Linked DNA regions of Oryctolagus cuniculus. The protein of the gene in region 2 purifies or fractionates together with the protein of the main gene of each other region. This does not show direct contact. Links are inferred from orthologs where the notes say so. Each region holds a gene or a part of one and is shown on either strand. Other genes may lie near its edges.

What was found.
Region 1: the proteins of HCK (region 2) and HSP90AB1 purify together in Homo sapiens (affinity purification with mass spectrometry; 3 studies listed by BioGRID and IntAct, with this or other methods). This does not show direct contact. The link is inferred for Oryctolagus cuniculus from reciprocal best matches to the Homo sapiens genes HCK and HSP90AB1.

What each region holds. Positions count from the first base shown.
Region 1 is NC_091436.1:125,876,384-125,886,820, forward strand, and holds HSP90AB1 (heat shock protein HSP 90-beta), read right to left. Parts: upstream 9,222-10,437; 5' UTR 9,015-9,221; intron 7,862-9,014; coding exon 7,715-7,861; intron 7,380-7,714; coding exon 7,173-7,379; intron 7,090-7,172; coding exon 6,930-7,089; intron 6,839-6,929; coding exon 6,705-6,838; intron 6,595-6,704; coding exon 6,280-6,594; intron 6,002-6,279; coding exon 5,836-6,001; intron 5,682-5,835; coding exon 5,491-5,681; intron 5,384-5,490; coding exon 5,236-5,383; intron 5,151-5,235; coding exon 4,882-5,150; intron 4,529-4,881; coding exon 4,195-4,528; intron 4,103-4,194; coding exon 3,993-4,102; 3' UTR 3,945-3,992; exon of another isoform or gene 3,908-3,944; 3' UTR 3,730-3,907; downstream 1-3,729. Other genes in the region: SLC35B2 (adenosine 3'-phospho 5'-phosphosulfate transporter 1), read left to right, coding at 527-537, 1,043-1,239, 1,402-1,556, 2,226-3,164. UniProt on the Homo sapiens protein: Molecular chaperone that promotes the maturation, structural maintenance and proper regulation of specific target proteins involved for instance in cell cycle control and signal transduction. Undergoes a functional cycle linked to its ATPase activity.
Region 2 is NC_091442.1:25,720,936-25,731,980, forward strand, and holds the start of HCK (tyrosine-protein kinase HCK), read right to left. Parts: upstream 5,576-11,045; 5' UTR 5,408-5,575; intron 1-5,407. UniProt on the Homo sapiens protein: Non-receptor tyrosine-protein kinase found in hematopoietic cells that transmits signals from cell surface receptors and plays an important role in the regulation of innate immune responses, including neutrophil, monocyte, macrophage and mast cell functions, phagocytosis, cell survival and proliferation, cell adhesion and migration.

The DNA.
Region 1 (10,437 bases), on a different chromosome or scaffold from region 2:
TGGGGAAGGCCTCTGGTGTCTTAAAGAAGGGGTGGGCGAGGAAGCCAAGACGGGTCACGGCGTGCCACGGAGGTCCCGGGGAGTGGGACCGCAGAACTTGGGTGCCGGCCGCAAAAAGCAGGCCATCTCCCCGTGCCGTCCGAAAGCGGGAACGCTCACATGAGGCTCAGTGCTTGTTGGCACGCAGAGTCGCAGCGTGAGCGCGAAGGGCGATGACGCCGCCGAGGCCACGGACACCCCTCCAGGGCTGGGGCTCCCAGCCCCGCCGGCTCCGGGGAACCGAGCCGAGGCTGCCTCCGGGCCGCACGGGGGCGCTGTGAGCCGGCGGCGGCCGCGGGCGCTGCGTGGTCGCGGCAGGGGGCGGAGGGCGGCCGCGGGGAGGGAGGCGGGAAGAGCGCGGCACTTCCGCTAGCCGCTAGCTCACTGGCTGCTCCCGGAGGCGGCGGCGGCGGCGGCGGGAGCGGAGGGCGAGCGCGGCCCGGGGACTCCATTCCCCGGTCCCCCTCCGCCCCACGCGGCCCGGACCATGGACCCCAGGTGGGGGGCTAGGGCAGCGGCCGGCCCACGTGACCGAGCCCCCGGGCCACGTGACTGCCGCGCCTCGGCTCGGGGGGCCGGGTGGGGTCCCCCGCTGCCGGCCCGCAGAGCGCTGTTCGGAGCCGGCGCGGGTCGGGGCCGCGGCGTGGGCTTGTGCTCCCTGGGGGGCTGCGGGAGTGTCAGGCGGCGGGGCTGGGGACCCTGGCGCCCCGGGAACGTGGGGGTGGCGTGGTGGGGGGAGGGGGCGCCGCCTCTGGCCTGAACAGCCGGCGGGCGCTGGAGGGAACAGAGGAGACCTGTGTGACCGGAGAGGCGGGTCCGCCCCCCGGGAAAGAGGAGGCCCTGCCTGGCTCGCGCCGAACCCCCCGAGAGAGAGGCTCTTTGTCCGGGCTGGGCTGCGGTGGAGGGGGGCGGGGAGGAGACTGGGCCTGTCTCCAGCGTGGCCCCCTCTGCAGGGCCGAGGGGATGAAGAAGCGCGCCCTAACCCTGGTGTCGGCTCTCCCAGCAGGTGGTGGGCCGTGCTGGTGCTGGCCGCGCTCCCCGCCTTGGGCGCAGGTGGGGAGACCCCCGAAGCCCCTCCGGAGTCCTGGACCCAGCTATGGTTCTTCCGCTTTTTGGTGAATGCTGCTGGCTATGCCAGCTTTATGGTACCTGGCTACCTTCTGGTGCAGTACTTCAAGCGGAAGAACTACCTGGAGACAGGTGTGTGAAGAAAGGGTGGGGACATGGCTTGGGCCCAGGTTGTAGGTTGCTGGCCAGCGCTGCACCGGGAGGGGAGGCGGGGAGGCAGGACGGGCTGGTTGCTCTGGGCAAGACAGGTGCTGTGAAGAAGGTTTGGGACCTGACTGTGTGTGCCTTCTTCAGGCAGGGGTCTCTGCTTCCCCCTGGTGAAAGCTTGTGTGTTTGGCAATGAGCCCAAGGCCTCTGATGAGGTTCCCCTGGCTCCACGGCCGGAGACAGCAGAGACCACCCCCACTTGGCAGGCCCTGAAGCTGCTCTTCTGTGCCTCGGGGCTCCAGGTACGTGGGCAGGGCCTGCTTGCTCTTCTTCCTGGCCGGGTTCCAATGGGCAGGGAGTGTGAAACCAGGTTTTTCACCCTACTGGTCCCGATGGTTGGCTGGTTGGTGGGTTCCCTGCCCCACCTCCTTCCCTCGTCCCTGTGCGCCTTGCCAACACTGCCGCCGTGGCTTTGGGGTATCTAGTACTGAAGACGGGCCTCGTGTAACCTCTTTTTTCTGATTTGCCCTGGGCCGCTGCATGTCCTGTGCTGTGAGCCCCCGATGGGAGCCTGGGGGAGCCATGCAGCCTTCCCCCAGCACTGTACTCCAGGAGCGCTAAGATAAGGGACCTGGCCACAGTTGTGGCTTGGGGACCAGCCCCACCCCCCATACGCCGGTGGGACGGCACTGGGAGCGACCGAGCCTCTCCCGACCTGAATTGGTTCAAAGTATCTAGCTGGGAGACTGCTTTGGGTGGAGTCAGCTTTAACATACCCTTGTACCATCCGTGCGGACAGGAAGTGCCTGGGCGGCCCTAAAGCATTTGTTCCAATGAAGTTTTCCCTGCACACTGGAGCGCAGAGAAGTCTCAAAAGGTGCTGTCCCTTCTGTCGCGTAGCCGTCCCCTGGAAGGGGGCAGCTGAGCCTTGCCTTTGCTTACCGTGTCCTGTCCCCGCCTTCCCCTCCCAGGTGTCCTATCTGACCTGGGGTGTGCTGCAGGAGAGGGTGATGACACGAAGCTATGGGGCCACTGCCACGTCGCCAGGTGAGCGCTTCACGGACTCCCAGTTCCTGGTGCTAATGAACCGTGTGCTGGCACTGATCGTGGCCGGCCTCTACTGCCTCCTGTGCAAGCAGCCCCGGCACGGGGCGCCCATGTACCGGTACGCCTTTGCCAGCTTCTCCAACGTGCTCAGCAGCTGGTGCCAATATGAAGCGCTCAAGTTCGTCAGCTTCCCCACCCAGGTGCTGGCCAAGGCCTCCAAGGTGATCCCGGTCATGCTGATGGGGAAGCTGGTGTCCCGGCGCAGCTATGAACACTGGGAGTACTTGACGGCCGGCCTCATCTCGGTCGGGGTCAGCATGTTCCTGCTGTCCAGCGGGCCTGAGCCCCGCAGCTCCCCGGCCACCACGCTCTCAGGCCTCATCTTGCTGGCAGGCTACATTGCTTTCGACAGCTTCACCTCAAACTGGCAGGATGCCCTGTTTGCCTATAAGATGTCATCGGTGCAGATGATGTTCGGCGTCAACCTCTTCTCCTGCCTCTTCACGGTCGGCTCTCTGCTGCAGCAGGGGGCCCTCCTGGAGGGGACACGCTTCATGGGGCGCCACAGCGAGTTTGCAGCCCACGCCTTGCTGCTGTCGGTGTGCTCAGCCTGCGGCCAGCTCTTCATCTTCTACACCATCGGCCAGTTCGGGGCGGCGGTCTTCACCATCATCATGACCCTGCGCCAGGCCTTTGCCATCCTCCTCTCCTGCCTCCTCTATGGCCACACGGTCACTGTGGTGGGCGGGCTGGGGGTGGCTGTGGTCTTCGCTGCGCTCCTGCTCAGAGTCTACGCCCGGGGGCGACTAAAGCAGAGGGGAAAGAAGGTGGTGCCTGGGGAGGCCCCAGTGCAGCAGGTTTGAGGCAGGAGGGGCCCCGCCCACCACCCAGGCTCTCCTCTACTTGGTGGCACTGGCTCTAGGGCAAAATGTGCAGCTGGCGGGCGGGGAGCCCGAGGCAGACTTCCCCTTGGCCTTAAGTCACCTGTTTGACAGCCCTCCTGAGGGGCTTGGGGGGGTGTCGAGCCTACCTGTTGTCACCAGCGCTTCACCTGTGCTTAGCCCCTACATCGGGGACTTCCCTCCCACACCTGCGTTTAACTGTGGGGAAAAGCACAGCACAAGTGTTTGGGGCGCCAAGTGCTGCTTTTCAAGGCGGGTGACAGGGTGCTGAGGGAGCTGGCTCCGTGAGCTAGTGCAGGCTTTGGTACTCTGGAAATGTCGTTTTGCTCTTTATAATTTTATTAAATTGCTGCAGTGGACAAGTCCTGTGTGTCAGGTGACTGAAGGGGTTGGGAGGACAGGGTTGCAGGGTGGGCACCCCCACTACCCCCTTAGCTTTGGGGTGAGCAACACCAGCACAGCCCTCTGTGCTCACAACTGCTGGACACCAAAAGCAGTGCATCCACTTTACAAGGGAGAGCAGAACTGTATAAAACGGCGTCATCTTTATTTTGCATACTTTAATTTCAGAACAAAATAAACAAAAAAAACCCACAATACACAACATCCAACCCCATTGTCAAATTAAGGAGGGGATGGGGCTTGAGGCCTTTGTTTCCTGCCATAAGACACAGGACAGGAGAGAGACCACTAGACATCAGCAGGGGAGCCAGGTGGGACAGGGCCACTCAAGGCTGCTGTGGGAGCCACGGGGACACTATACAGAGGGCAGGAGTTTCCGAGGAGTTCCTAGTCTACTTCTTCCATGCGGGAGGCGTCCTCATCTCCCTCGAGAGGGGGGATCTCCTCCGGAACAGCTGCGCTGGGTTCCTCTGCTGCCACCTCATCCTCATCAATGCCTAGGAAACAGAAAATAGGAGGTTCCAACCACACAGCACGGAGGGAGGGAAGGGTGTCCCCACCCGGAACCCAGGCACTGCTCACTCCATACCTAGGCCTAGCTTGATCATGCGATAGATGCGGTTGGAGTGGGTCTGGGGATCCTCCAGGGAGAAGCCGGAGGACAGCAGCGCAGTTTCAAAGAGCAGCACCACCAGATCCTTGACTGCCTTGTCGTTCTTATCCGCCTCGGCCTTCTGCCTCAGCGTCTCCACGATGGGGTGGTCGGGATTGATCTCCAGGTGCTTCTTGGCCATCATGTAGCCCATGGTAGAGTTGTCTCGAAGTGCCTGGGCCTTCATGATCCGCTCCATGTTGGCTGTCCAGCCGTAGGTGCTGGTCACGATGCAGCAGGGCGAAGACACGAGCCTATTGGAGATTGTCACCTGCAAACAGCCAGCAAACCTCAGGTGTGTGTGGAGGTCAGCCTTACATCTTTGCCAAGCCTTAGAGACAGCTCACACCTAACTCCTGAATAAAACCACTCACTGCAGGGCCACTGGCATCACCAGCTGCTCCGCTTCAGAGCCAGCTCCCTACGAATGTGCCTAGGAAGATGGCCCAAGAGCTCCGGCCCCTGCCACCTCCCAGGGAGACCTGGAGTTCCAGGCTCCTTGGCCTGGCTTACCCCAAGCCATTGTGCCCTCTCCAACCCTGCCCTTGAATCTTGACACACACAGCAAGCACGCAAAGCTGCACCTCCAAAGGAGTGCGGAACACCTGAGCCCCAGGTGCTCACCTTCTCAACCTTCTTATCCAGGATCTCCTTCATGAGCTTGCAGAGGTTCTCAAACTTCGCCTTGCTCTCCTCCATCTTCTTCTTCTCCTCCTCGTCCTCAGGCAGCTCCAGGCCCTCTTTGGTCACAGACACCAAGCTCTTCCCGTCGAACTCCTTGAGTTGCTGCACGCAGTACTCGTCGATCGGCTCTGTCATGTACACCACCTCGAAGCCCCGCTTCCGCACGCGCTCCACGAAAGCCGAGTTGGCCACCTGCTCTTTGCTCTCCCCTGCAAGGTCATTCAATGGGACTCAGACACGAATGCCCCTGCCCTGCCCAGCCCCTGCCCGCCTCAGACCCAGACGCGCACGCACCAGTGATGTAGTAGATGGACTTCTGTGTCTCCTTCATGCGAGAGACGTACTCAGACAGCGAAGTCATCTCGTCTCCAGACTGGGAGGTGTGGTAGCGCAGCAGCTCAGAGAGGCGGCGCCGGTTGGTGGAGTCCTCGTGGATGCCAAGCTTTAAGGGCGGGAAGAGAAACCACCATCAGCTGGGCTAGAACTTTGAACGACCCACTTACCACGTACCCAAACGTGCCCCAAGGGAGAAAGCCACTCGCTCCTCACCTTCAAGTTCTTGGAGAAGGCCTCATAGAACTTCTTGTAGTTCTCCTTGTCTTCCGCCAGCTCGGAGAAGAGCTCGAGGCACTTCTTCACGATGTTCTTGCGGATGACTTTCAAGATCTTGCTCTGCTGCAGCATTTCGCGGGAGATGTTCAAGGGCAGGTCTTCGGAGTCGACCACGCCACGGATGAAGTCTGCAACCAGGCAGTGCGGCAGCTTGGTCAAGACCAGGCCAGACTGGACAGAGCCACCCGGATGCGCACACGAGGTCCGGCTTTCTCCCTGGACCACTATCTGGGATGAAGCCTGCAGCCCCCTCCAACGCCACCGGGCCAAGGCCATACTCACTGAGATACTCTGGGATCAGCTCATCACAGCTGTCCATGATGAACACACGGCGGACGTACAGCTTAATGTTGTTCTTCTTCTTCTTGTTCTCAAAGAGGTCAAAGGGAGCTCGGCGAGGGATGAAAAGCAAAGCCCTGAATTCCAGCTGACCTTCCACGGAGAAGTGCTGCGACAGGAGACCCAAGGTAAGCCAGCAGGACGCGCCAGGCCCAGGGTGCCCTTCAGTCCCAACTAGACTCCAACCTGGAATTATCGTCCCCCAAGCACTTGCGACATGATTCCTAATGCCCTAAACACACCTACGCTGGTCCCAGCTGCATAAAATCCTGAACTTCCACCAGGAGAGAAAGCCAGGTCCTCGGGCAGGGCCATCAGCGATGCTCCCGGTTCTCAGCTGGGCTACCCCCTGCCTCTCCACCCCGGCCCACTCCCAAGGCCTCTCACCTTGACTGCCAAGTGGTCCTCCCAGTCATTGGTGAGGCTCTTGTAGAACTCGCCGTACTCCTCCTGGGTGATGTCATCAGGGTTTCTGGTCCAGATGGGCTTGGTCTTGTTCAGTTCTTCCTGATCGATGTACTTCTCCTTGATCTTCTTGGTTTTCTTTTTCTTGTCCTTGCCGCTGTCATCTTCCTCATCGGAGCCCACATCTTCGATCTTGGGCTTCTCATCGTCCTCCTTATCTTCCTCCTCCTTTTTCTCTTCCCCTTTTTCTTCCTCTGCTTCATCATCACTGATTTCCTTTTCTCTTTCCTTCTCCAACTAAAGCACCCAGAAACACTCGTCAGTTTTGAGCACCGACCCTCAGGGCAAGCAAATGGCCCAGCCCACCAGAAGCACAGGCAGGCTGCCTCCGCGGGAAGCATACTCACGTAGAGGGTGATGGGGTAGCCTATGAACTGCGAGTGCTTCTTCACCACCTCCTTGACCCGCCTCTCCTCCAGGTACTCAGTCTGGTCCTCCTTGAGATGCAGGATCACCTTGGTGCCTCGGCCAATAGGCTCCCCTGCAGACCAGGAGGGCAGGCGGTGAGCGAGCTGCCCCAGGACCGCCTGCTGCACACTCGCCCTGTGAAGCAGCGCCTCCCGGCCACTCACCGTGGTCGGCGCGCACGGTGAAGGAGCCCCCAGCAGAAGACTCCCAGGCATACTGCTCGTCATCGTTGTGCTTTGTGATCACGACCACCTTCTCGGCCACCAGGTAGGCAGAATAGAAACCGACGCCGAACTGCCCGATCATGGAGATGTCGGCACCAGCCTGCAGAGAAGCGGGAACGGTCAGACTCGTGTCCTGCAGAGAACAGAGGCCCGGCCGCACGTCGAGGGCTGGCTGCCACCTACCTGCAGAGCCTCCATGAAGGCTTTAGTCCCCGACTTGGCGATGGTCCCCAAGTTGTTGATGAGATCGGCCTTGGTCATGCCAATGCCGGTGTCCACCAGCGTCAGCGTGCGGTCCTGGGGGCTCGGGATGATGTCGATCTTCAGCTCTTTGCCGCTGTCCAGCTTGGAGGGGTCCGTCAGGCTCTCATAGCGGATCTTGTCCAGGGCCTGCAAGGCAGCACCAACAGCGGATTTCTTAGCCGTCTCTTCAGCGTTAGGAACCTCTTGGATTGCTACTCTCACGCTGTAACTCTGACTGCCCCATCATCCTACACGAACTGTGAACTCTTAGAGTGAGTAATAAACGTGCCATTTAATGGTAACAGAAAATTGCGTCCTTGAAATACCCCTGGAAGTGAGAACCTTGGGCCTCACTGGACTAGGAGCCGCGTGGTCACACTGGCCCGCTCGTCCAGGGAGCACCCGGACAAACCCCTTCAATAGCAATCAGTTTTCCCCCTTCGGGAGGAGCCCAGCCAGCCATGAAACACGAAGGAACTCACATCAGACGCGTTGGAGATCAGCTCCCGCAGGAAGATTTCCTTGTTGGAGTAGAAGGTGTTGATGATGAGAGACATGAGTTGGGCAATTTCCGCCTGGAAGGCGAAAGTCTCCACCTCCTCCTCTCCATGGTGCACTTCCTCGGGCATCTGGAACAGGAGGGTCAAGAATCAGGAAGGTAGCGGCCCCAGAACTGACGCTTCTGAAATTCAGATGGTGTTTAAACTGCTTTGGGCGGGGTTACTGAAGACACGCCCTTTCTTAAAACCTGTGGGGTGAATACTAACAACCACCGAGTCAGGTCAAGAGCAAAGCCCTCCTCAACCAGACAAGCAGGTAGCATGGAGCAGGGGTGACCAGCAGCCGCTCACCACGCTGGTCCCAACCCAGACAAGGGACTCCCGCCCCACGTTCAAACGCCAGCATCACTGACCACACGTCTCTTTGATGTGGGCGCTGGTTTTATTCTCAAACTGCTCGCCCGTAGGCAGCTCTTCTACCCCTGTAGTGTGGATGCGCCCAAGGCCCGATCGCAGCCCCACGCGGCAGGGCACACTGACACCCGAGAAACAGCGGTAACCGGCTCGCGGGGCAGTCCACGCGGGACAAAGAACAGAGCAGGCGAAGGCTGCCCCGTGACGCCCCAGCACCTGCTCGCACCCAAGTAAAATGGTGCCCGGGGCCGCGGACCGACCCTCGTCACTGCCGGACATGCGTCGGCCGCAGCCCCGCGAGAAGGGGGCGCCACAGCGCGCCTCGCCATCGCCCCAGCATCCGGGCACTGGGGCGGAGCATCGGGCTCCAGAAGCTTCGAGAACAATCTCCGCGCTCGGGGAGGGGCGGGGGAGGGAGCCTATGAATCTTCCAGAGCCTGTCCCCTCCCACTCGAGGGCTGCGGAAAAGACCTGCCACACGCCAAATGCGTTTCTGCCCGCGGCGGGTCCCGCACGGACCTCGAGGGCCGAGCAGCAGCGGCAACCCAGGCGCGCAGTGCTGAGTCACCCGCGCGCGGACCCGGCCGCCTCGCGGCCCTCGTAGCCGCGTCCGGAAGTGGAGGGGCAAACATGGCAGCGCCCCGGGCCGGCGCGGCCACCACGTGCAGCCGGCCCCCGCCGCGGCCCCGCGCCGCCGGCCCGGCGCGCCGGTGCAGGCCGACCGGACGCTGGAAAGCCTCCACGCACCACCCCCGCAGCCCGAGCGCGCGGGGACCCACGGGCCGCCCCGCACCGCGGCGTCTGGCTCCCGAGCTGCGCAGCGACAGCACCCGCGGGGGAACGGCCTGCAGGGACGCGGCTGCCTTACCTTGAAGGGAAAGGGCTGCGAGCACGAGAGAGCACGGAGGGCCCGGACTGCCAACCGCACACGGCACGAGGCAGCGCGGGGGTGACTCAAGAGAGCTCTTGGGAGCCCCCAGCCAGCCTATATAAGGCGAAGCACAGCCCAGCCGCCTCCCCCGGATCCCTCCGCCTTAAAGGCGGACGCCCGCGAGCCCCGCACCTGCCGGCGCCCGCCCACCTTGACGTCATGGTCCGGAATAGGGGGCGGGCGGGGAAGAGCCAGAGCCGCCAGCCTCGGTGTGGGCTCGTGAGCTCCTGTTCTCTGCACGGCCAGGGCGTGACCCCTGCCACGATTAGGGACTGAGAGTGCTCATATGCCTCAACAGTGGATCTGCGAGCGAGGACCCCACCGGCTCCCCCAAAAGCCCTCCCACAACCAGGAGGCCGAGCCGACGGGGACTTGAAGCGAGCAGAGGTAGTCACTCCCACCCAGTCGTCTAACTAGGATCTGCCACATATATCCCCCCTCCTCCCGGCGAACGGCCCAGCTGCCTGCAGCCCCCTGGGGCGGGGGAGGGGCGCCGGCCCGGGAGGGAGGGGACTCTTTGCTGGCGTGCGGCGGAAGGAGCGGCGGCAGCGGTGCTGCGGCCACTTCCAGCAGTTTCCAGGCCAGTCTCGGCGGCCCCGCCCCCGCCGCCGCCTCCCCTCGAGGCTCCTCCCCTCGCGCTGCGGCCCGGGCAGTGTAGGTACTGCAGCTCGGGCCGACCCCTGGGCGGAGCGGGTGGGCTGCCGCTGCTCGGCCCTGCTACCCGCCTCGTCCGCCCCCGGAGCGCGGCACTGCCCCGCCGCTGAGGGGCACCTGGCCCTCCGCCTCTCCCGCCGGCCGCACACCTCGGGCAGCGGAAATGTTTTTCGGGCGCCTCCATCCAAGCCGAGACTGGGGGTGCCCATCCCTTCCCGAGCCTTCGCGGCAGCCCCCCAATCCCTAAACACTGGTTGAGGCGCCCTGCTTACAGGGTCACCTCAAGCTATTTCCCAAGCTGGTTTCGGATTTTACGCCCTCGTTCGCGTCTCTAGCTGCGGGGGCAGGGGGAGGGGAGGGTCTCCAGGGACCCCTGCCGGTGGTCGCCTGCCCCGTGGGAACCAAGTTCCTTTGCGACCCTCGGCCATGCGGCAGCCCAGGGAGCCGCGGGTCGCGCCCGCCTGGCCCAATTTGGACCCTTTGCCTGCCTTCCGGCTGCCGGCGGACCTGCCTTTCCCAAGGGTCCCCTGAAAGTCTGCTGGACCCGCGTCCTTCCCAGGAGACCCTGGCCACGCCCTGCTCCGTGCTCCCCAGCCGGCCAGCCCCGGCACCCGGTTCCCCCTCCTTAACCAGCTTTGGCCGCATGCTGGCTTCCAGAGAACAAAGGAGGACCCTTCTTTTCTTTGCGCTGTCCACGTGGTCGTCC
Region 2 (11,045 bases):
CTGTTGCAGCTCACGACCGTCGGGTTACAGGAAATTTCCCTTCTCAGAACAGCTCAGCCACGGCGTGCGGGGCCGGGGGGGAGTCTTCCCCAACAAGACCACTTTCGGGGTACAGAGCACTGCAGCTCTTCTCGGCTCCCCGTCTTCTGAGTACAGCATCTCCTCCTCCAGTGACTGTTGTCCCTAATACCACTGGTTCACTCCCCATAGGCTCACAATAGCCAGGCCTGGACCAGGCCGAAGCCAGGAGGTTAGAACTGAATCTGGGTCTCCCATGTGGGTGGCAGGAACCCAACCTGAACCATCATCTGCTGCCTCCCAGGGTGTGTGTTAGCAGGAAGCTGGATCAGAAGCCGAGCTGGGACTCAATCCCAGGAACTCTGATTTGGGACACAAGTATCCCAAGCTCTCATATCTTATATCTCATATCTTAGCTCTCATGCCGAACTCCCACCCCAGCCCTCCCCTTCTCGGGGCCTCCGTTCTTTCTATAGGGCTCAGAACTTTGATTTTACAACAGGAGAGTCGGGCGATCACTGCCTTCATTATACACACGGAGGAACAGCCCCAGGGAGGGGGAGGGGTGTGCCCGGGCTCACACGGCGCTGAATGACAGAACAACACACTGAGGACAAACTCAAGGCCTCCGGCCATTTGCCTGGCTCAGCTGGAGGTGAGCTCTGAGGTGCAGGATTGCAACCACATAGTGAATTCTTAGCCTGCTCACTACCCTGGGGCCACCCAGTCAAGTCCAGAATTCCAGGGCAGCTGTGAGCCTCCTGGGAAGAATTTTCTCTCTAGAGTGGACAGGGGCCAGGGCAGTTTGGGGAACAGGGGATGTGACTTTGAAGTCTGAAGGAGTTGGGTTTGCAGCCACACTTTGCCTCCTACAAATAAGTGAACCTTCAAAGATGTCAACCAGGCCACACCCCTCTGCTCGAACCCTTGCTGGGCCCCTGAGCACGACCCCTCTCCAGTGGGGCAGGCCTCTGTGCTCAGACGGCCGCTCACCCTCGCAGACCTGTCCCCACCAGCTCGCTCCAGATCATTCCTCTCCATACGCACACCTCTCGCCTTGCTTTTTCCCAACATGCGAACCACGCTTCTACTGCAGGGCCAGTGCATGTGCTGCCTTCTGGAATATTCTTCACCCAGAAACGCTTGTTCACGGCGGATCTCTGTGCAGATCTCAGTTTCCTAGAGGCCTGTCCTCAGCCGCTGCCCCCACTCCCATTACTTTCTGTCCCCGTCATTCCCCGCATTCTTGGCCCACAGCATCTTACTGTGGCCTTCTGGGGCCGCACCTCTCGGCGGTCAACTGCAGGGAGCATAACCGACCCGAGGCCACAGCTGTGCTCTGACCCTCTCAGCACTGTCCCACAGACTGCTCCAGCCAGCCACAGAGCACGGCAGGGACACTGGGGCAGCCCCGCATGGAGGGGTCTGTGACCGGCTCTCCTTAGACCTCCCTCGTGGCCTGGGACACTTGTGCCTCCCCCTTCCCTCTCCCCACACCTCCTTTCTTCCTTCTCTCCCTCCTTCTCCACTCTCTCTGTCCGTTTCCTCTTCTTCAGGCATCAGCTGTGCCTTGCCACCTGACGGCTCTCCGAGCCTCTCGTGGTTTCTCCCCGTATTCTCTTGGGGGCTTCCTGTGATATATTTCTAGCGCAGTTAATCTGTGGGAGTCTGCTTCTCAAAGGCCCTGAGCTAACACACCGAATGTCACCCCATCGATTGATGGCTCATCTCCCCCACTGCGGTTTAAGACACAGGACGGCGCGGACTCTGTTCTGCTCACGGATCCATCCGTGGGGGTAAAACCAGGACACAGTAATTGCTCAATAAATTCCTGCTGAATAATTCAGTGAAGTGCCCTTTGGCCTCCTGGACACCCCGGAGCGTGTGTTTAAAGGGAGGGATGCCGTATGGGCACCAGTTCTGGTCCCAGCTGCTCCACTTCCAGTCCAGCTCTCCGATGTTGCCTAGGAAAGCAGTGGAAGATGGCCACCCACGTGGGAGACCTGGAAGAAGCTCCTGGCTCCTGGCTTCAGATCAGCTCGGCTCTGGCCATTGCAGCCAATTGGGGAGTGAACCAGCGGATGGAAGACCTCTCTCTCTCTCTCTCATCTCTACCTCTCTCTGTAATTCTTTCAAATAAATAAAATAAATCTTTAAAAAAATTTAAAAAAAAAAAAAACGAAGGGAGGGATGCCGTTGGAGTAGCTCATGCTTGGAGGCACAAAGCTTCTCTGTGCAGAGGTAGCCGCCTGCATATAGGAACAGGAGACAGGGCCAGTTGCCAGCTGAAGCAACATCCATGCCGACCTGCTGGGTGCTCCAAGCTCAACGGCCCCCAAAACTGTCCTCCACAAATGGAGTCCTTGAAGCCACAATGCCCACACACTCTGCTCTTTTCATAGCTTATAGCTGGCATAGCTGGCTGAGGCCAGGAGCCAGGAATGCATCCCTGGTCTCCCGCGTGGGTGCAGGGGCCCAAGTGCTTGGGCCGCCTTCTGCTGCTTTCCCAGGTGCATTAATAGGAAGTACTCCAGTATGAGATGCCAGTGTCACAAGCGAGGCCTAACGTGCTGCACTAAATGGTTGATTTTAATACAGATATGTGCGTTTCAGCTCAATTAGGATATTTTAAAATCACAAACTACGTAAGAGTGCTCTGCTAGAAAGGTTAAACAAATTATGGTGTTTTCAAACAATGGAATATTATAGAGTCATTAAAATGTAATAATATTTCAATGATGGAGAAAAATGCTTCCAATATAACGCTAAGCAAATGCATAGGATAAAAATGATATATTCAGCACTATATACTAACATGTTTGTCACAAAAAAAAACTCATGCTTCCATTTTTTGAGTCCCTACCAAACGCCAGGCACATGGCCACGGGTCTAGAGACAGCGGGAGGCCAGCAGAGCCGGGTTCTCCCCCCTCTCTGGGGCAGAGCCTTCGGTCTTCTCACGTGATGGGAAGGGTGGAAAGCCGCCGAGCCCTGGTGTTTTCCTCTGAAACAGCTGCACAAGGGTCCCAGGTCCCCTGTCCAGGCAGGGTAGTCCCGGCAATGCTGTTTGTCGTGGGGAACACCTGGGAGCGACCTGAATGCCCATCTGCAGGGAATGAGCATGTAAGCTGGCCGCCTGCTGGATGCGCCACGGTGGTTAGAGGGGAAGAATGACACCTCTGTGGCTCATCCTGGAAAGACATGGACAGCGCAGCCGTGAGAAGTGCGTGTGGGTGGGAGGCTCTCACCGGGAGGGCGTGTACAGCAGTCTCCCTTATCCACGATCTCACTTTGCCTGGTTTCAGTTACCCATGGTCAATCGTGGTCTGAAAGTACTAAATGGGAAAATTCTAGAAATAAGAAAGTCTTACGGTTCAAACTGCCAGCTGTTCTGAGCAGCGTGTTGAAATCCCACCTTGTCTGTCCCATGCCAGCCTGCCTGGGATACGAATCACCCAGCGTGTCCAGGCTGTGTACCGGACTTGCCACTCGGTAGCTGTCTCGGCTCTCAGGTACACTGCTACGATATCACAGTGCTTATGTTCACATTTTACTGTGGCCTCCAAGCACAGGTGCATGGCGCTGGCAGTCTGGAGATGCCAGAGAGATGCCATACAGTGCTGGGTATGAGGAAAGCAGGCTCAGGCAGCCCCTAGGCCTCAGAACATACTCCGGGGGGTAACGGGGAGATACTGTAGCTCTTGAAGACACTGGAAATCACTCTGGATTGCTTATGCAGAGATGTACACCAAATGTATAAAGGCACAGACCGGGGGCCGGCGCCGTGGTGAAGCATGTTACGCTGTCCCCTGCAGTGCCAGGATCCCACATGGGTGCTGGTTCGAGTCCTGGCTGCCCCACTTCTGCTCCAGCTCTCTGCTAATGCTCCTGGGAAAGCAGCGAAAGATGGCCCAAATGCTTGGGACCCTGCCACCCATGTGGGAGACCCAGAAGAAGCTTCTGGCTCCCGGCTTTGGACTGGCCCAGCTTCAGCTGTTGTGGCCATTTGTGGAGTGAACCAACAGATGGAAGACCTCTCTTTTTCTGTCTGTTACTCTTTCAAATAAATAAATTAATCTTTTTAAAAAATAAAGACACAGACTGGAAGGATTAATCCATGACAGCATTTCCTTCTGGGCAAGGAGAGAAAGAGAAAGAGGACAAAGTGTGTGTGTGGGGGGGTGCTTCAGTTTTATTTGTTATTTTTATTTTTAGTTTTTTTTTTTTTTTTTTTTTTTTTTTTTTTTTTGTCATTTGAGAAGCAGAGAGAGAGAGATCTTTCATCTGCTGGTTCACCCCTCAGATGCCTGCATCAGGCCAAAGCTGAGAGCCAGGAACTTAATCCAGGTCTCCCGCAGAAGTGACAGGGACTTAAGGACTCGTGCCATCACTGTTGCCTGCCAGGGTCCACATTATCAGGAAGTGGGATTGGAAGCAGAACCCAGACTCAGCCACACACTTGAATGTGGGACATGGTTGTCCCAAGGGACGACTGAACCACTCTGCCCAACGCCTGCCCCAAGTGGGCGGCTTTCTTAATGAATTTATGAAATGTAAATGAGCTTGGTGCTCAGACTTCCGTCCCATATATGTAAACGCAAATATTCCTAAACAAAAAAAATCTGAAATCCAAATCCCATCTGATCCTGAGTGTTTCGATGAAGGTTGCTCCTCCTGGATTGCCCTGTGTGCCCCCATCCTGGGTTTTGGAAACCCAGGCACAGGAAGGCCAGACCTCTTCCCCAAGGCCCAGCAGGCAGTCTGCCTCACCGGCCCTAACCATTGCACTGCCCTGTCACGTCTCACAGAGCGGCGCGGCCTGGGAAGGAAGACTCAGTGGCCGCGTTTTGGAGAGGCTGACTTGCCCAAGGACTGCCACGCGGGACTGGGCACTAGTCCCCTGGTCGCTGTCCAGGAGCTTCCGGTGGTGACCCAGACCTCCCAAGGTCGGGCTCCAGCCCAGCCGGCGACCCAGCTGCAGCTGGCCTGGGTGTGGCGCGCGTCACGCTCCGCCCAGCCGCCCCTCTGCCCGCGCCGCTGCCCGCCTGGCGTGACCGTCACACACCCGCACCGGGAACCCGAAGGGCTTTTCCCTCCCGCGCTCCCTGCGGCCGCGTCCCTTCCTTCTCGGGGTGATAACTCCCCCTGCCCCGCAGAAGGGGAACCCGGACGGCGCAGAGAAGCGCAGCCCTAGCAGCGTCTCCGTGGGCGCGGCTCCCTTCCCTCCGCCGCACGAGTTCTTCCCCGGCCCCCCTACTCCCGCTCGTCCCCTGGGGACCTACTGCCCACCCCTGCTCCCCTCGCTGCCATCTGCGGCCGGCCCTGCCCACGAGCCGGAGCTCCTCCACCTCCCTGGCCAGGTGACCCCAGGACGCGCCCGCGGTACTCACCTAGGCGCCCGCTTTTCGCCTGGCGGGCAGCCCGGATCCTCGCAGCTCGAGCGCCCCCCCAGCTCAGCAGCCCCCGGGCCTCGGGGGCCCGCCCGCAGAGAGGAAGACGGACTTGGGAGACCTCTGGGTGGCGTGCCGGTCTTCGAGGACTCCTCCGGGCGCAAAGCACTGCCAAGCTCCCCTGCTGGCACCGGGGGCGCAGTGACGCCCCGGCCGCGCTCGGGAGAGGCTAACCCCGCCCCCAAGGGGCCGAACACCGCCCCGGTCATCCTGAACGAGGTCACCATCCGGCAGAGGCCTCCAGCTCTTCCCAGGATCCACCATCCCTGGGGGCGCGTCCCTCCTGCCACTGCCCCAACACCTTCCCAATGCGTTCTTTTTTTTTTTTTTTTTTTTTTTTTTAAGATTGATTTATTCGAAAGGTGGAATTAGAGAGGGAGAGAGAGAGAGAGGGAGGGAAGAGGGGAGAGAGAGAGAGAGAGAGTTTCATTTGCTGGTTCACTCCCCAGATGGCCACAATGGCAAGAGCTGGGCTGATCCGAAGCCAGGAGCCAGGAGCTTCTTCTAGGTCTCCTGGACGGGTGCAGGGGCCCAAGCAGAGAGCTGGATCGGAAGTGGAGCAGCCAGGGCTCAAACAGGTGTCCATATGGGATACTGGAACTGCCAGCAGTGTTTAGCCTGCTGGGTCCTAACAACCCCTCTTCAAAGGGTTCTATCCCTGACCCCACTCCTAGATTTATAACCCCAACCCGGGGTTCCCACATTGCCCCTAGGTCATCCTCCCACTCCAAGTGCTTAACCCCCAGGACTTCAATCGCAGCCACCAAAAATGCCAACTTCTGGCCTCCAGGGCATCCATGCCGCCTTCAAGTAATCAAACAGGCCGGGAAGGGTCCCCTGGCTCTCTCCCCTCTCTCCCAGTCTGATCCTTTTCCAGCCCACGCTGCCTCCATGCCCTGCCCATCCCCCCATACTGTGTCCTGAACCTCCTCTGCCCTGTCATGGTCAGCAGTTTCCCCTGGACTGACCATGCAAATCCACTGGCCCATGGGGATCTCCCTGGCTCGCCCTGGGTCGGCTTCCGGGCAGCAGCGAGAAGTCGGGCTGGAGGCGACCAAGGCCAGCACGGGACGGGTGAGGGCGAGGCACGCCAGCTCCTGGAACCTGCAGGGGCTGACCTGGACTTCTGCGGAATCCCTACCGCACCCCATCCTGAGGCTCAGCACAGCCATCACTCATTCACGCCATCACCCCACACTCGCCCTTTCCCGGCGGGCACTGTGCTGGGGCTGTCAGCCGCATAGTTGCTTGCCCTGGACTGTCCTGTTTGGGATGTCTAGCAGCATTGCTGTGCTCTGCCCTCTAGACACCTGCAGCTGTGTCCTGACACAGCCCCGTGCCCCCCGGGGCATGAGAGGGGGACATGCAACCAAGAATGAAAAAGACAATGAACCTGGCCTTCCATAGTTGGTGTGTTCCAACTATGTGTGCTGTGGGTTTAATGTACTTGAATGGCACCATTTCAGTGTTGTACTTTCTTTTTCTTATTCCATGGCTATTGTTAAAAATCTGGCTGCTGGGGTCGGTGTTGTGGTGCTGCAGGTTCAGCCACTGCCTGCAATGCCGGCATCCCATAACACAGCATCAGTTCAAGTCCTGGCTGCTCTGCTTCTGATCCAGCTCCCTGCTAATGCACATGGGAAAGCAGCAGAAAATGGCCCAAGTGCTTGGGCCCCTGCCACCCACATGGGAGACCTGAAGGAGTTCTAGGCTCCTTCCTGGCTTTGTGGTCATTTGGGAAGTGAAGCAGAGGATGGAAGAATCTCTCTGTCTCTCTCTCTCTGCCTTTTAAATAAACAAATCTTTAAAAAAAATACATATATAGTTTGAATATCACCCACTAACCGAGAAAAAGGAAGCTTCAGGAGTTTACTCGCCAAAGTCACACACTAATGGCACTGCACCAAGAGGTTCGAGACTTCATCCAATTGCGTTCAGAGCCGGGGGTCTCAGGGACCTGATTAGACTGGATTAGGTCGTTAGGGCACCGGTAGCTTTGCAAGGAGGGGAGATGCAGAGACAAGTGAGCTCCCTGTCTTGCTACGTGCTGCTCCAGGACCCTGCCAGCAAGGACACCATCATCAGAGGGCAAACCAGTGGGCCAGTCTACTCTGGACCTTGACCCTCCAGAACCATGAGTGAAGATAAGCCTCTTTTGCTTGTAAAGCTAGCCTGCCTCAGGCTCATTATAGTATAGAAAACTGACACCGTAGCCAGATTGCAGAAGGTAACTGCCATGCGGTCATCTTTCATATCCTCCACCTCTAATTTCTCACTCTCTTGTTCATGGACATTTAGACTGCACAGTTTCCCACCACTGTCGACAATACCACAATGGACATCCTCAGGCACCTTCCCTATGGACTTGTGTGAGGCCGTTATAAAGACTTCAGGCCTGACGCTGTGGTGTAGCAGGTGAAGCTGCTGCCTGTGGCCCTGGCGTCCCACACGGGTGCTGGGTTGAGTCCTGGCTTCTCCACATCTGATCCAGCTTTCTGCTAATGGCCTGGGACAAAAGCAGTGGAGGATGGCCAAGTACTCGGGCCCCTGCCGCCCACACGGGAGACCTGGATGGAGCTCCTGACTCTGATTTGGCATAGCTCAGCCATCACCAGTGCAGCTATTTGGGAGTGAACCAGGGTGTGGAAGACCCCCCCGCCCCCCGTAACTCTGACTTTCAAATAAATAAATAAATCTTGGGGCTGGCTCTGTGGTGTAGTGGACTAAGCCTCTGCCTGTGGTGCCAGCATTCCATATGGGTGCCAGTTCAAGTCCTGGCTGCTCTTCTTCTGATCCAGCTCTCTGCTATGGCCTGGGAAAGCAGTAGAAGATGGCCGAGGTGCTTGGGCCCCTGCACCTGCGTGGGAGACCTGGAAGAAGCTCCTGGCTGCTGGCTTTGGATCAACTCAGCTCCAGCCATTGTGGCCATTTGGGGGGTGAACCAGCAGATGGACAACCTTTCTCTGTCTGTAACTCTGCCTTACAAATAAATAAATAAATAAAATCTTAAAAAAAAAAACTTCATTTGCCAAGAATGACAGGTGTTTCCAGAATGGTCATCACCCTGCTCTCTCTTCTGTCACTTGCCGCATCTTTACTGTCCCTCAGCATCATTGCCAGTGTTATTCGAGTTCCCCAGAAGCAGCCCACGGACATGGATTCCAGTGAAAATAGCTCATTTAGGAGATGCAGACAACATTGGTAGGGAAGCCGGTGAATGACACGGGGGAAGGAAGGAAGCCAGCGAGGGGAACATTGTCAATCAAGTGACCACGGTGTGCAACAGGAGTTCAAGTCTGCCACGGGGTTATGGAGGCAGCTGCACCATACCCCTGCATGCCTGTGCACCAAGTCCTCCAGTTAGAAGAGGGATGCCCTGGAGGGTGTGAATCCTCCTGCACCTCTGGCCTGCCCTCTACTTGTTCCAGCCACCCAGGAGCCTCCAAGGAGAGAAATGCATGTCTTGGTAAAGGCCCAGGGCACCTTAAAGGGCCATTAGCAGTAGCAATCCCTCTCCTTGCAAAACTTTAGCATTCTGATACCTGGGGAACTGAAGCATTCTTCTACTCTACCAATGTTTCTGCTATTAGAGTGACACTGTGATAAAGTCCTTGTGTACCCAAAGCTGCATCAAACATCACTGTGGAATGCTTTGATAAACAAAATGTGCCATTACAATTGTCAGCTTGATGAGTTCGGGCAAATAGAGCCTGCACTTGTGTGCTGCCACCCCCACCAAGATGAAGAGCATTTCTATCGCCCCACCCCCAATCCCCTTATGTTCTGTTTTTGGCATTTCATCTTTTTGCCCTTAGGTAGTCTTGGTAACCATGGGCTGTCCTTTTGTCACTGCAGATTAGCCTTGTATTTTCTGGAATTTCACGTAAGTGCAATCATACAGTATTTTTTTGCTGTCTTCTCTTACAAGTTATGACACGTTCCATTGGTCCATCCCTTCTCACTGCTGAGTACTATTCCATTGCACACGTGTCCCAGTATTTGTTCATCCATCTGCTTGTTGATGGCCGTGTGGGTTACTTTCAGTTGTCAGCCATGTAAGTAAAGCGGCTACGGGCGTTCAGGCACAGGTCTCTGCGTGGATGTGTTTTTATTTCTCCTGGGTACATACTTAGGACTGGAGTCCTGTATGGTTAGCTGTGCGGTGAACTGCCACACTGGCTTTCAGAGTGGTTTTGCTCCTTTGCACGTCTCCAGTGCTGGCTGATTTCCTCGCCCACGTCTGGTGTTACCATGTTTTATTTAACAACTTTTATATGTGCATCAGAGAGAACATCTACAACCGCACATTCTATTCTAAAGAAATGCTTTACCAGGCCTTGAGGTCACAGGCCTTTTGTCGTGGGAAACAGAGCTGACCACAGAAGGGGTGCTGCGCACTGCATCTTTGGGGTCAAACCGGAGCTCACACCCTGGCACTGCTGTTTACCATCTACCAGGGAAAGATGGAAACAACCCAAGTGCCCATGAATGAAGGAATAGGAGTGTAAATATTAAGACAACAATGGAATATTAAGCAGTGTTAGAAAGAGTAAGGAGGGGGGTCAGCACTGTGGCGCAGCAGGTTAAAGCCCTGGCCTGGAGCACCGGCATCCCATATGGGGCCCGTTCTAGTCCCAGCTGCTCCACTTCCGATCCAGCTCCCTGTTGTGGCCTGGGAAAGCAGTAGAAGATGGCCCAAGTGCTTGGACCGCTGCACCCACCTGGGAGACCCAGAAGAAGCTCCTGGCTTTGGATTGGCATAGCTGCAGTTGTTGCAGCCATCTGGGGAGTGAACCAGCAGATGGAAGACCTCTCTTTCTGTCCTCTACCTCTCCCTGTAATGCTATCTTTCAAATAAATAAAATAAATTTTAAAAAAAGAAAGAAAGAGTAAGGAGGGGCAGGCCTGTGGCACAGCGGTAAGGACACGATTGGGATGCCACATCCCACACTGGAGTGCCTGGGGTGGAGCCTGCCTCTTCTTCCATTCCAATCCACCAGTATGCACCCTGGGACCAGCAGATGATGGCTCAAGTGCCCGGGTCCCTGTCACTCGCAGGGGAAACCCAGATGGAGTTCCTGGCTCCTGGCTTCGGCTTGGCCAGGCTTGCGTGTTACAGGCATTTGGGAGAGTAAGCAGATGGAAGTCTCTCTCTCTCTCTCTCTCTTTCTCTCTCTCTTTCTCTCTATCTGTCTCTCCCTCTCTCTCTGTCTGTCTCTGTCTCTCCCCCATCTCTGTTTCTCCTTCTCTCTGTGCCACTCAAATAAATAAATAAATATTTTAAAAGAGTAAGAAGATATACAAATCAATAGTATTTCTATATACTAGCAATGCATGATCTGAAAATGAAGTTATGAAAACAATTCTACTTATATCAGCAAAAATAGTTGATTTAACAAAAAGTGCAAGATACTCTGAAATGTACAAAACATTTTATATATATATAAAGATTCATCAACTTATTTGAAAGCAGAGTTACAGAGAGAGAGAGAGAGAGAGAGAGATATTTTACATCTGCTGGTTTACTCTGCAAATGGCTACAGTGACCAGGGCTGGGTCAGGCCAAAGCCAGGAGCCA